2 linked regions of the Oreochromis niloticus genome follow. The protein of the gene in region 1 binds, or shares a complex with, the protein of each later gene. Links are inferred from orthologs where the notes say so. Each region holds a gene or a part of one and is shown on either strand. Other genes may lie near its edges.

Region 1 (7,069 bases):
ACATTCTTACATGAAACTGCTTAGCATTTTTCTATATTTAAGTAACATATTTTTGAAAAGCGACTATACGCTGGGCTTTTCAGATATATGTTTGTGGCACTCTAACCAACACATGGTGAGTGTCATTTCACTCTGTTATACTCACGAGAAGGCACACATCTCTGCAGACCAGTCAAAAACCAGGTAAGTCACATCAAAACAATCAAGATGGGGACATGTATCACCACCTACAAAAGAGAAAAAAACCCACAGTTCCTTTAATCTTGCTGAATAAATCTTTGGACTGTTAAAATTATTTGTGAAGTGTTATCTTTTTCTTTAAACCCATTGTGCTCCCTTTTTCACCCTTTATTGTTACAGCAGCAGGCAAGGTTGGACATTGTGTGTCTGTAGTGTCACTATGGCAACCTGCATATCTGTCTGTCTTTGTACCTCCTGATATTGCACTGCACCCCTTTGAGCATAATAAAGTGATTACAAAGAAACGTTCATATCTGTAGCATGTAAAAACTGTCTTTGTGATGTTTGCTTGTGTTAAGTCTGATGTGTTGTAGTGCCCAAAATGCTTTGGGTGTTATTTTTTTCTTTCAAAACACATTTGCACTGTGAGAAACTGGAACAAAGTCAGCTGAAGTCAAAATAAGTGGTGATCTGGACAACTGGAACTGGACAAATGCAGCTTATTGCACAGAGGATTTGCCTTTAATGTTAATACAGAGGTAGTTTGCACAAGATTTGATGTTTGATTTTAAGCTGGACTTTTTTGCAAGAATGTCTGTTTCTCACACTCAATTTAATGTCATTACATGTACATTAAAACTTATAGATCACAGTGAAATTATACTTTTTTTTCAGCAATTTTCACAGTTTGCAAAGCCGTCCAACAGGCCAGACCAGACCCTTCGGTAAGCCTGCGCAGCACATGTTGACACCCCTGTTCTACACAATATTCACATTAGTGTACTTAAATGAATCCACCATCTGGCAGATCTTACAAATACTTTGATTCCCCTCTAAGAACTACACTGGACTAGCTATAAAAACTCGAATGCCCTAAATCATATTCAATTCAATTCAATTCCATTTTATTTATATAGCGCCAAATCACAACAAAAGTCACCTCAAGGTGCTTCATAGGTACAGACAAAAACTCAACAATCATATGACCCCCTATGAGCAAGCACTTTGGTGACAGTGGGAAGGAAAAACTCCATTTTAACAGGAAGAAACCTCCGGCAGAACCAGGCTCAGGGAGGGGAGGCCATCTGCTGCGACCGGTTGGTATCCAAAAGGAGTCGCTCCCTGCTGGCCCTTAGACACAGTGCAGGTTAAAGGCACTTCCACACTTACTTTTATATACAATATATGCTTACTATGGGGCTTGGAAGGGTGGCTGTAGCTCCGGAAGTAGGGCAGGTCAGTCTGCATGTCAACTATCCTTGGCCAAGATACAAGAAAGCGTAGAATAAAAGGGCTTGAATGAATGAGGCATGTTGTATAAAGTGCTTGGAGTGCTGTGCAAGAATAGAAACGCACTATATAAGGGTCAGTACATTTACTAAAGATGTTTATCAGAACTACTTTCATCTTTCTACTATTTTGCTTTTACCCTTTAACCAGATTACACATTGCTTGAAGTCATTTCTCTACCGACACTTGATTTCAGTTCACAGTAAGAATAGCTCTCAGTATACCAGAATGACACCAGAATACAAGCATGAACAGCTTTTATATGACTTTCAAACACATGGGTCAAAAGCGTGAGTGGATTCATGACTGCCCTCTGTTGGTCTTGTAATGTATTTTTTACAAAAACCAAAACTCAAACAAAGATATTCTAGTTGTTTAAAGTAAAATTCAACAAACTCAACACATAAATCCTCAAAAAAAACAACAACCAAAAAACGGCCTAAAATATGGATGAAGATAAAAAAAAAATGCTGCTCTTTTCACCTTCGCCTTATCTTATGTTGTAATTTATGACAGGGAACAGCAATTCCCTGTAAACTAGGTAAGATTACATATGATACAGAAGTCATATTAGAGCCAGTTCACACTAGTAAGTGTAATATAAGCAGACACTATTATGAGTGAAAATACACACATTCATCTCCTGTTTCCAGGTCATACAGTGAAATTAGAATAGCAATTGAAAATGAGTCTGTGTATACTTATGTCAAAGCATAAGAGTAACTCAGACATAATGGGATGTGTTATCGGAAATCACAGCATCTCTGTAATAGAGATTGAATGAGCATGAATTTTTGAAGATGTGAGTCATAAACCTCAGGCACACTGTCTCGCTGTGGATTTTAAGCACGATTAGATGACAGTGTAATAAACACAGGAAATGTCTTGATGCATTCTCAATCATCCAGGAAAGTAAATCTCCAAAAGTTGAATCTGTTCATCTGGACGTAGCGTTTTGTGGGAGAAACGTTTCGTCACTCATCCAAGTGACTTCTTCAGTGTCAGCTGACTGCAGGTTTCCCCAAACCTTATAAACAGTACATTTGCATAATGACTGAAACCAGCCCACTGAAGGAACAATGGGCTGTGAGGACCTCACAGCCCACTGAAGGAAGGACCTCACAGCCCACTGAAGGAACAATGGGCTGACAGCCCATTGTTCCTTCAGCTGACACTGAAGAAGTCACTTGGATGAGTGACGAAACGTTTCTCCCACAAAACGCTACGTCCAGATGAACAGATTCAACTTTTGGAGAAACACAGGAAATGTTTAAATTCAGGATGAGAGAACAAATAAACGACACTGTTTTCCCTGAAATGTGACATGTTTAATAAGTCTTCAGATTACAGTTGACGGCAAGTGAGTGAATGTTTCTAATCATCTCACCAGAATATAAATGAAGACAATTTAACACTGAATACAAAGTTTTCTACAAAACCCTAATGTACTCTGCAACAAATCATTGGAAATGGCAAGAAAACCCCATGATATATGTAAAGAGTGTCTATGTCATGTCCCATTGTTTGCCTTGCTAAAATCAAAGTATTTGAAAATATTTTTTAAAAACATTGTGTTTGTTTTGCATGTACAGACTATATGTAATTATTATCTACAGTTCTCAAAGAAATTAAGTAAAAAAAAAATGAAATACTGATGATCACGATCTAAATCAAATGGACAAAAATGGCTTTGTAAAGTTATTTCAAAATGTGCACCTTAAAAGTATTTAATATTATATACCACGTGTGCTGAAATATTAGCTGCAGTGTTATATGTTTATTTTAACTAAATCATACACTCCACTTGCAATGGAAGTGAGTGGAGTTGGGTGGGGTCCTCGTAGATGAATCAGGTTTCTTCTACTATCACTGCAATTTTTGCACATTGCCTCACAGCACATTGCTGCAGTTGTATTTGAGTCTTTGGGGCTCTGGTGGTCCCAAGAAGTAAGAAGCCTGGAGAACTTTTCCTGAAGACTATTTACACAAATGACAAGAAAGGTGCCCAAGAGAGTTCAACTGAATAAAGGTGGTTACACCAAACACTGCCTTTCAAGCTTGTTAGAATTGTATAAACTTGTTTTTGTGTGTGTACTGTATTTCCATGTATGTTTGCGTCATTGGTTTGCACATGTTTCAATAAACCATTGCACCAGTTTTTTTATTTTCCAAACAAAATATAGAGAAATGACAAGTTGCACAGTGCTGTAAGTGCAGGTATCTTAAAGCTACACCATTAAAAACCTAACTGTGCCTGTTTGTGTAAATTGATTTGAGCCATTTTACTTTCTGTGATAAAAATAATAGTGCCTCTGTCAGTGCGCTCCAGGGCGGCTGTGGCTACAATGTAGCTTGCCGTCACCAATGTGTGAATGTGTGTGTGAATGGGTGGATGACTGAATGTAGTGTAAAGCGCCTTGGGGTCCTTAGGGACTAAGTAAAGCGCTATACAAATACAGGCCATTTACCATTTACCTTTAAAAAAATATATATATATATTATTTTCATTTGTATTTGTGTATTTTATTTAATATATTGACTTTTATTTTATACAAACTGGCAACTTCCGCCTACCTCTCAGCGCTTTTTGCGTACGTACGTTACGTTGGTCAGACGCATACACACAGAGACATCATGGCGGACGTGCTGGACCTTCATGAAGCGGGAGGCGAGGACTTTCCTATGGATGAGGATGGTGATGGTAATCATATTATGTTCACTGTTAGTGGAAAATACTTTACTGTCCCCGCGTTCAAATGATGTGTAATTATTGAGGTCCGAATCGCAGCCGCCATGTTCGTAAACGGAACAAAAGCTAGACTGCGTGGTGGCAGGCCCGATCAATGCTAACATGCTAATGCGAGTTAGCGCCGTATAGTTGATTTATTCAGTCGCTCCGTACAAGTTAGCGAGGCTACGGACATAGAGGTCTTTAAAGTTCACCTGTTTCTTTTTGAAGGGGAAATTTACTTGGCCGGTAACTTAACTCTCATTGTGAGGGTTGTTAGCAGCTGCTAACACGCTAATTCGCGGTTAGTGCAGCTAACGGGTAATTGTTTTTGCGGCTCAAACTGGGGGGAGCGGGCATGTTAAACATGTTCCTAGTCAGCTGAATTAAATTGGCGAATTTTGTTCGTTGATAACTTGTAGTCAAGAGAGCATTGCAGCGACGTGCGCTGGCTTTGACTTGTTCATCTTTCATTCATTAGAGAGCATCCACAAGCTGAAAGAGAAAGCCAAGAAGAGGAAAGGAAGAGGCTTCGGTTCAGGTGAGTGACCCCTGGTGTGATGGCGATATTTTACATAGCCTCTCTTACTTTAGCTATGCAGTACAGTAAGTGTTTCTTTGTCGATATTTCCAGAGGAGGGAGCCCGGTCCAGAACCAAAGAGGACTATGATACTGTGGAACAAGATGGGGATGAGCCAGGCCCTCAGAGATGTGAGTAAAGAAACGGTTTAACAAAGGATTATGTCACGAACTTGAAACGGCAGGCTGTGGCTTTGCTGTGATATAGCAGAAAGTACCAGTGGTTTTCTGGGTAATCTTACATCATTTGCTGTTGATGTGATAATCACTACTGGGTAGAACATGTTAGAACTTATTTAAATACATGTTCTTAATTGTCATTGTCTTAATACTTAAGCACAAAAATAATTTGTGTGTTTGTCCTCATTACAATTGTGTGGTGCAATTTCTCATAATTGTCAATTTATAAACCTTTCACTACAGCACCACAGGCTGTGTTACAGAGTAATGCAAAAGTAAAATGATGAAATAACTTGTGATTAGTAAAGTAATGCATTACTTTTCTAAAAGTAACCGGTAAGACAATGCTGCTGCTTTTTTGAGTTACAACTCCAATGCTTGTAATGATAAGTTTGGTCAATAGTATAAAGTCCAAGCTACATGTGTGAATAGAAATCTCAGAGTTAATCAACAGCAAAAGAAGGATTACGCTGGTACCATTAAAATCCATTCAGATTTACAAAAAAGCAGACTTGCTTCCAAAAAAGTGTCACTTCTGTTATTTATTGACTTAATATCAAAGCAAAGCTTTTTATTTTACATTAAATGCTTTATTGCAACGTAGCACCTTTGGCATCACACTGTCAACAACTAGTTTTTATTTATGACTCAAATACAGCGCTTTTTTTTTGTTTGTTTGTTTTTTGTCTTTTTTAAGCTGATACACTTGAAAGTGGTACTTGATTCATTACATGCTGATTCCTTTCCTTGCTGCAGCTGTGGAGGGCTGGATCCTCTTTGTGACGGGTGTACATGAGGAGGCCACAGAGGAGGACATCCATGACAAGTTTTCAGAGTTTGGAGAAATCAAAAACCTCCATCTCAACCTTGATCGCAGAACAGGTTACCTTAAGGTAAAAAAATACAACAACAAAAACCACATACTATTATTGTGTGGGTTTTTTGTGTGCGTGCGTGAGCTGATAACCCTGGCTTAGTACAGGTTCGCTGTCTGGTGATACCTGATTCTAGCCCGCTACTTGGAGTTGAACCTCAGTGTGGTTTGCAGCTATACTTTGAGGAATGGGAGGCGTGGGGTTGTTCCGTAGATCTTTCAGACAGGCTGATTGTACACCCCAAACAACGCTTCTGTTAAACTGTTAAATTGGCTCTTTTTGTTTTGTTTGACTGGCTTTTACATCCAATTGTGTTTGAGTGGGGGAAAAAATGGCTTGTTGAAAACATTGCTTCATTCTGGGGTAAAGGTGGTTTGAGCCCAGACAGATCACTGTTGCCTTCCAGCTGCATACACAACACCTGGCTGCATAACATGTTTGTTTGACCCTTAATGATGACACCACGATGCCATCCATGAAGAATAAACTCAGAAGCCAGAGCCAAGACCATCCACCGAGTCACACTTTAACTGATTTCATACAAAGAGAAGTGCCAGTGTCAAGTTAGTTACCAAAAAAGTAACCAACATTTCTCTGACTTGTTCTAATTATCGCTAAACTAAACCCTAAATCCAAATATTTTTAATACTGCAAATGTCCTTAATTTCTGTAAAGGATTATGTTTTGGTTTAACAATCCCATACTGTTCCTCTGTTCATGTGAAAAATGGAATTATTGGTAACCTGCTTGCTGGTTTTCTGATCAGATTGTTCTCATTTTTAACATGTGATGTGGATCAAACTGGAAATTTTACACACGACGTCAAATTTTTACCAAAAGCACATTTCATTGTCCTTTTAGTGTTTTGTTGTTGTGCGCTGTCTGTTTTTTATGATCCCATAAGTCAGTTTAACAGTGGCTTGTGACACTATTTTATAGTTAGGTCAACTTAACCAAATTCAAATCAGGAATATACAGATATTACACATTTGTTTGTTTTTATTCCACACAAATGGTAAAGTAGAGCAAGTTTGTTTCTGCAGCCAAACTGAAACAACTGCATGAATGCAAAGGAACAGCTATTTGTAGAGTCCTCATCCCACCATTGTCATTGTATTTCAGCTGTGTATAACACTTATTCCATGCGGGAAAAACACTTGTGCAGAGGATGCATCTGATCATCTTTGATTATAGCTCCTTCAGCATGCCTCTTCTCTCTTTTCCAGTTGCATTTCA
Region 2 (7,384 bases), on another chromosome or scaffold:
CTCCTCCTCCTCTCCCTGCGCTCCCTCCACAGGGCCATCTGTAGTGGGGGGCTGGGGCTCGCTGGCTGCTGCCGGAGCTTCCTCGTCGCTGTACTGCTCTGCTTCCTCTTCCTCCTCCACTCCCTGAGGAGGACACAGTTTTAGGAGAAACACTCCCTAAAGAGGCTAAACAAGACGTCACAGCCGAGAGAAAGCAGCGAGTCGGCGGTCGTACCTCTGAATGCGATCCGTTGTCCTCGGGGTCGGCGCTGTCGTAATCTGAGAGGACGGCTGAAAAACAAAGAGGAGGAGTGAAATCACCCAACAGCAGCCTGATTTCCCAGATTGTGACTTCAGTGTGGTGCTCACGAAGAAGTCGCTTACCTTCTCCAACGCCGTCTTCGCTCTCCTGCAACAACAAAGAAGAAAACCAGCGTTAAGCTCCTGCAGCTCCAAAGCGCCGAGGATCAGACGCGTCTGTGTGTCAGAGCCTGAGCTCTGCTGCGAGTATGTCACAGAGCGCCGTGCACATTATTCAGCTTCCACCTTTAACTGTACAGACCACCAACAGCACAGCTCGGATTACTTCAGCAGAGTCTGAACGCAGCTCAAAGATCCGAGTTTATCAAACGTCTCACTAGGGCTGTTCGATATAACGATATATATCGGATGACGATAGAAAAACGTCTATCGTTTCATTTTACGCTATCGTTTGTTTCGTGGTGTCGCAAAATAAACTGTTTACGGCAATATTTTTTCATTATTTTGATGGTCACTGTAGTGGCTATATGAATTTCCTAAAGTTCTCTCTTTCTCTTATATTTAATATAACCACACTACAGACGGACAAGCGCCTGTTTTTATGCGTTTTCGTTAGCAACAACGACGGTAAAACCACCTCGTGTCCGCTTGTTTATTTTCCACATAAACCTTTCACAATAAAGCTCAAGATCCTGTTGAGGCTTTTCAAAATAAACTGAATCACGTGAAAGATGCAGAGTGTTTACGGATGAGAAGCAAAAAAGAGCCGTCAGGTGCTAAAAAATAAACCTTATACTCAAACGTTAGAACAGGCTTTTCCCCGCAGCACGCCGTGTAATAAATACTCACAAAGAAAACGGCGGCCGTTACAACCTATGTCTACAAATGTATCGTTTCATGCATCAGTTAAAACACTCGACTCCAGGTACGCGACGCCCAGCTGGAAACACTTCACGCAAGTCGAGCTGCCCGACATTCACAGAATTTACAGAAAATGTTACATTTTTGTGATTTTATATCGTTATCGGACGATAGATGTCTTAATATCGGGATATGAGATTTTGGTCATATCGCACGTCTCACAGAGTCAGTCTCTTTAAACCTCTTTACAGATGAGCTCGGTCTGATCTCACGCTAACAGCTGGATTCACTTTGTGTCTGTGTTTTTCAGCAGCAGCGCTGATACAGCAGGGTGGAGCGTTCTCACCTGTAACACCAGCACAGCTCCTCTGGGAGTTTGAACAGTTAATTTACCTGCAAACGGTCGAGTGAGTTTATACCAGCGCAAAGAACCAATATTTAAAATATGTGAAGAAATCATGACGAGGTGCCGTCAGCTCGCCTGTGTGAGTGAGCGACTGAGACCGAAAGACTCTCACAGACCAAGAAAGATCAGCGTCTTCCTCACAGTGAAGACCAGCCACAGGCCACTGCCCTCCAAGTGCCGTCCCAAGCACAGACACATGGGAAGGGTCGTGTCAGGAAGTGCATCTGGATTAAAAACAGAATTTACAAGAGTGAAAAGGAAGGTTTATGAGAAGGTCGTGAGACCTGCTGTGATGTTTGATTTGTGGACAGCGACTGAGCGTCAGAAATGAGTGACAACTCTGAGTCACAGAGGGTCTGAGCATGTGCAGAGGAGGGAGGGCGGATGATAAAAAAAGTGAGCTGCCAGGCAGGGGGAGACAAAGAGGACCTCAGAGGAGGTTCATGGATGTTGTGAAGGAGGACATACAGAGGGGTGGAGTGACAGAGGAGGATGCTGGGACAGGAGGAGGTGGAGGCAGATGAGCTGCCGTGACGACCCAAACAAGAGCAGAGATCAGATGAAGCAGAAGCCTGTAAACTGGGAACCAAAGTAACAGAGCTTAAACACAGCAAACGTCTGAAATCACAGGCAGGACTCACATTTCACTTCAGCACACTTATCAACAAGCCTGCTGCTGATTGGTTCTTACTAATCTGTCGTTTCATGTTTGTTGTCATGTAAACAGCCTGGAGCCAATAAACCCGCCTCAGCCTGCACTGCGGTCGGACCGAATCAGTCATGTTTCCCCCCGCTGCGGGGACCAAAAACGGCAGCTAAACACCACCACAGGGGCCCAGGATGATCTCAGACAGATCCACGGCCACAAAATGGAGGCTCAGCCCAGAGCCTCTCTCAGACCTCGGGTCACGCGGAGGTGCGTGATGCAGCCAGCCCGGGGGTCCCGGACATCACTCTCACGCCTCGGTGTTGTGTCACGTTTGGTGTCCGTGTTAGTTTGAGCCTTTCCGGCTCGGACACAAGCGCTACAGCGAGCTACTCGGTCTGTTCCAGCTCGAACCGCCAGGCTGGCCGGGGTCATGGACCAGAACCGTCCGACGGAGCGGTTACAGAGCGGAGCCGTTACCTTCGAGCTAACGCCGAACAAACACCGAGCTGTCTGTGGGACTCGAACACGTCACCCGCTGTTTTATCCAGGGTTCATTTTCCACAGTGACCCGAGCCCGGAGCGGGTCTCGGGCCCGGAGTAAATGCTCTAACGCCCGAAAGCTCGGCTCTGATCTCCCGCCCGGGACCGGGTGAGCTCTGGGAGCTAACGTTAGCTGCTAGCTGGTACTCACACACTCGGACTCCACGTCGCTCTTCGCCGGGACCCGGCTCGCGGTCGGTTCCGCCGGGTCGGGCTCCCGTCCCCGGGGCTTCGAGGACGGGGACCCGGACCTCCCGCTGTCCGAACCCGACCCGGACTCATCGTCATCCTCGCTGTCCTGGGACGCGCGCCTCCTCCTTCGCCGCCGGTCCGCCATCTTAGGACTCGAATGGTTGGAAACGGAAGAAGCAGAGGATTATGGGTATCCGAGTTCTTCTTCAGTGAGATAATTAAGAGCACCTTTTTCTCTCTACCGCCATCTACTGTTTGTAAACTTTTACTAACACGCTTGAAAATGCGACAAAATAAATAAATAGAAAATAAAACATAACTTGTACAACAGAAACGAAACAAACTGGGTAATAAAAATCAAAACAGAAACAATAAACAGAGTTCTGCAGGTCTGACTTTAGTAAAGTAAATGTCCTGACATGCAGAATGTATTCAGGTAAAAGTACTTAAAGTATTTAAAGTATCTGGATGTGCAGCTGATGGATGATGCACCAAAGCTTCAGCAGCATGTTTCTGCAGACAGGCGGTGGATCTGAAACGTGAGCGTCTCCCTCCAAACCAACAAAGAAGTCTGTTTTTATTTTATTTTATTTTAACGTTTTGGTCAAGCTTACATTACGTTTGGATTAATACTGAGCTCTGAGTTTCAGTGTTGTTGTATTGCAGTAAAAGCTACATGTTTGTAGTTCGACACAGCAACAGGTGACGAGAAAAAGGTGATATTTTACAGGTATGTACCTGAACCTGAGGAACAGGTAAGACGTCAGAGTAGCGCATTTCCGTCGGTCACCACTAGACGGCGCTGCTGACTACATTCAGAGCTGCAGAGATGCCGAGCTCAGAGCAGAATAACCTGTCTCCACAGTGAGTCTGAGGCCTCAGGTGAGCACCATCGGTTAAACCCTCCACCACGTCGCTCTCTGAAGAGCCCAGCACTGCATCTGTGCTTTTTAAGGATCTGCCTGTACCAGACAGCAGCTTTAAGTTTGTTTTAGTTTGACTTCCTGTATGTCTTCACCTGCGTGCTGTTCCCTGTCTGTTTCCTATCCCCAGTTAGTTCCCACTGTTTACACAGACCTGAGTTCCCTTCATCCCTGTCAGTGTGTCCTGGCCTCACTCCTTGTTGTACTCTCTGTTATCAGGGCTCTAAACTAACTTTTTCACATGGGCGCACCGGTACGCCTAACTTTAAAAATTTAGGCGCACCGGCACAAAATTTAGGCGCACTCAAATTTTTCAACCGCATCGCTTAACACCGCAGTTTTACATGTGCACTTTCTTTGGGGGGAAGTCCATACAGACAATATTAATTTCTAAATTATTAACTAACAAACTTGTGCTTAAAGTGCTTTGTCAATATTGTAGAAAATGTTAAACTTAATCATCACCTCGGCCTCCTCTGACGACCTGTTTGCTGCTGCCTGCTGCTGAAAGGCAGTGGGGAGAGGGGACACTTGGGCAGTGCATTTATTGCAGCATATAATGTGTTTTCTGGATGCACTGCTGCTTTTTCAGCATTCAAAGATTGATGGCACCGTGTCAGAGCTGGCTATGAATTTCAGACGGATCAGTCCTTAACTTAACACAAAAGTTATCAATAGTTCTTTTCATCTTTTCTTATTACCCACAGCTACATCCACTTCTGTCAGGCCTAGGCTGCTCACTAGGGCTGAGTATCATCACTGATTTCTATAATCCATTCGATTCCGGTTCTCAAAGTCCTGATTCGATTCAATTTAGCCTCAGACAGTCAGAAATATTATAATTCTGATCATTTATCAGCACTGATACACATGAGACTTCATCAGAATTGTGAACATCACAGCAGATGCCTTTGTGTCAAAGTAACTGAGAATAAAACACAGAAAAACATGAAGGAGATTTTCCTGGTCTGGCGTTTTATAGCAGATAACCTTAAAAATATTCTGCAATTTTGCATAATTTTAAGAAGTTTAAATTTCTTCAGTACTGAACAGCAGAAATTAGGCTTTCTTGTCCGAGGTCATTTAAGTGAAAAAAGAAAAAGAAAAGAAAAAGACAGCGGCCGACAGCGCTGTAAACAACGGTAGACTGGTGGGTAATAAGCGAATAAATAATGCAGAAAACAGAGATTTGAGACGGGAAACTGTTCTTGAAGTACAGAGAGAGAGAGAGAGAGAGGGAGAGCTGTGCATGAAGTGTGATTTTTATCGTGGTGGAAGCAAAACAGCAAAAGTCAGAGGGAATTCATGACGACATTGATCAAATGTGAAGCGTAGTTTGCTGCTTCTTTTGCTGCTGGCTCGGCGAATTTTGGTTGGAGAGACAAAACCTGCAGCTCAGAATCAGCGCAAAAAAGAGGAAACACAGCGCAGACCCGACGCATCAGAATCACTAAGCTCCGACAGCGTGTCCGTGTTCGGGCCGTGGGGTGAGAAAGCCGAGAAAGACAAAGCTGATTCTGATGCGTCGGGTCTGTGTTTACGTCTTTGTGTGGAATCCTTAATGAAATGATATCACTTTATTCAAGCTACTCACCTCTCTCTTCCACCTGCACTTTCAACTGGACCACGGCCAATCAGAGAGGTCCCGCCCCTGACTATCTCTGATTGGTTTAGTCCACGATAGGGGCATAATGTGTGTCTGTTGTTGACCACACGGACAGTTGCAGAGATTTTTTTTTTTTTTTGTTACCCGAAAATATTTGGTCACACCGGTGCGACCAAATATTTTTTTTTGGTCGCACCACTGAAAAATTTGGTCGCATTTGCAACCAAATTGGTCGCACTCTAGAGCCCTGCTGTTATCCCTGTGATGCACATTTCTCCACATGTAGGACACTTCTGCTGTTGTTCCTATAGTTGAGTTTATTAGGAGAGTAAACACATTTATCATCATGCTAATAAGCTGAAGGGAGACAACATTTTCACAGCTTTAGATCACTGATAACATCCAACAGGTAATCGAAGGCTATTGTTTTGCAAAAGTGTAGCGTTAAAGGATCCTGACCATTTCCTATAATTGCCTTTTCCCCATATGTAACAGAACCTTTACTTTGAAAATTAGGAATTTCCTGACACTCTGTTCCTCAATTAAGAAAATAATTGGCCTTTCAGTGACCCCAGAATACATGTTGGTGTTTATCACCTGGTGTGCCCACAGACAGATACACAGACACTGACAGACTCGTGGATAACTGGCTTTAAATGTGAGCGAGTTAACTTCAGTCTGATAATCATAATTAACCACATATCTGAGAAAGAGACACGTTCCTGAAAACACATGAAAACTATCAACCAATCAGAGGGAGACAGAGGAGATGATGACCTAAGCAGCAGTTATTTGTTCTTTAACAGACAAACTAAGTGAAATCACGAATCAGGTGAACTCCGACACACTCAGGTGACCCCTCTGACTGACCAGCTGTGGCAGATCCTCTCTGACTTTGCTGAAGTGCTGCTCAATCTGCTTCTTCTGGCTGTCGTAATTTTCCTCATAATAAATCTTTAACCTTTTAGAAAGTGGGACAAGGCTAACAGCAATAGCTGTACGTGAACCCTCTTCTGAAATAAATTTGTTAAAACGTTCTTTGTCCAGTTCGTATTTATTCTCCATCTTGTGCTTTTCGAACAGCAGCTCAAGCTCGCGTTCATACACAGAGATGAGAGTGTCCACAGGTCCGCAGGTCTGTAGCCCTCCCAGTCTCACCAGGTGGATCCGCACCTGGATGTGGAAGGCGGCTCCGTTCACCCAGGCCCTCAGAGCTCGTGACGACATCTGTCCGTCCCTCATCATGGAGCTCTTCAGCCTGGTGAGCACGATGCTCAGCTGGTGCTCGATCCATCTGATGTTGTTTATGAGCTCTGCATCATCATTTGTGTGCATCATGCATCTCTTCAGACACTCGTCAATCTGATGCCACACCTCAGAGGCCTTCTGCTCTGCAAAGACGCACCGCAGAGCCTCCTTTGTGCTCTCTGAGCTTGAAATGATGTCGATGAAGATGGTGAAGGCCAGCGCTCCAAGCCCCGCCAGCTTGACACTACCTGACAGATTAGCCAGCTTCTCAGCGAGATCCTTGAGCCAATCATCAACGGGATAGCTCTGCTGTTTGGTCTTGCTGAGGTGCTGCAGAGCTTCACTATGGCTTCATTCACCGTCAAATCTGGACATTTCACGCACGTCTTCATCATTTTTCTCAGAGCCTCCTCTGTATTCTTCTTCTTCATCTCTCTAGACATTCTCAGATCCATTCTGCTGCTTCGCTCTGAAACATGCAAAAAGTGAGACTGGTGAAACATCTGTGAAATGTCTGAACCCTGGAGGCTTCTGGGTCGTCCCTGGGCCTCTGCAGGATTTGACCTCTAACAGCAAACACAGGAGCTCTGTGTCGTGAGCTAATGTGCTGTTTGATAAAAATCTTTTGGCTAGCCGTACGCTGTCCTGTCATAATGAGCTGCCTGATCCATGAAGCTCAGGTGGTTGTTTTTTAGATTTAGCTTCACCTTAAACAACAA

What was found. Proteins that work in one complex are often made in the same cells at the same time.
Region 2: rbm8a (region 1) and casc3 share a complex: the UniProt entries of both Homo sapiens proteins name them as parts of the mRNA splicing-dependent exon junction complex. The link is inferred for Oreochromis niloticus from reciprocal best matches to the Homo sapiens genes RBM8A and CASC3.

The regions. Positions count from the first base shown.
Region 1 is NC_031976.2:34,767,384-34,774,452, forward strand, and holds the start of rbm8a (RNA-binding protein 8A), read left to right. Parts: upstream 1-4,039; 5' UTR 4,040-4,104; coding exon 4,105-4,171; intron 4,172-4,679; coding exon 4,680-4,739; intron 4,740-4,832; coding exon 4,833-4,910; intron 4,911-5,714; coding exon 5,715-5,851; intron 5,852-7,069.
Region 2 is NC_031969.2:34,227,191-34,234,574, reverse strand, and holds the start of casc3 (protein CASC3), read right to left. Parts: upstream 3,070-7,384; 5' UTR 3,034-3,069; coding exon 2,848-3,033; intron 389-2,847; coding exon 364-388; intron 271-363; coding exon 215-270; intron 124-214; coding exon 1-123. UniProt on the Homo sapiens protein: Required for pre-mRNA splicing as component of the spliceosome. Core component of the splicing-dependent multiprotein exon junction complex (EJC) deposited at splice junctions on mRNAs.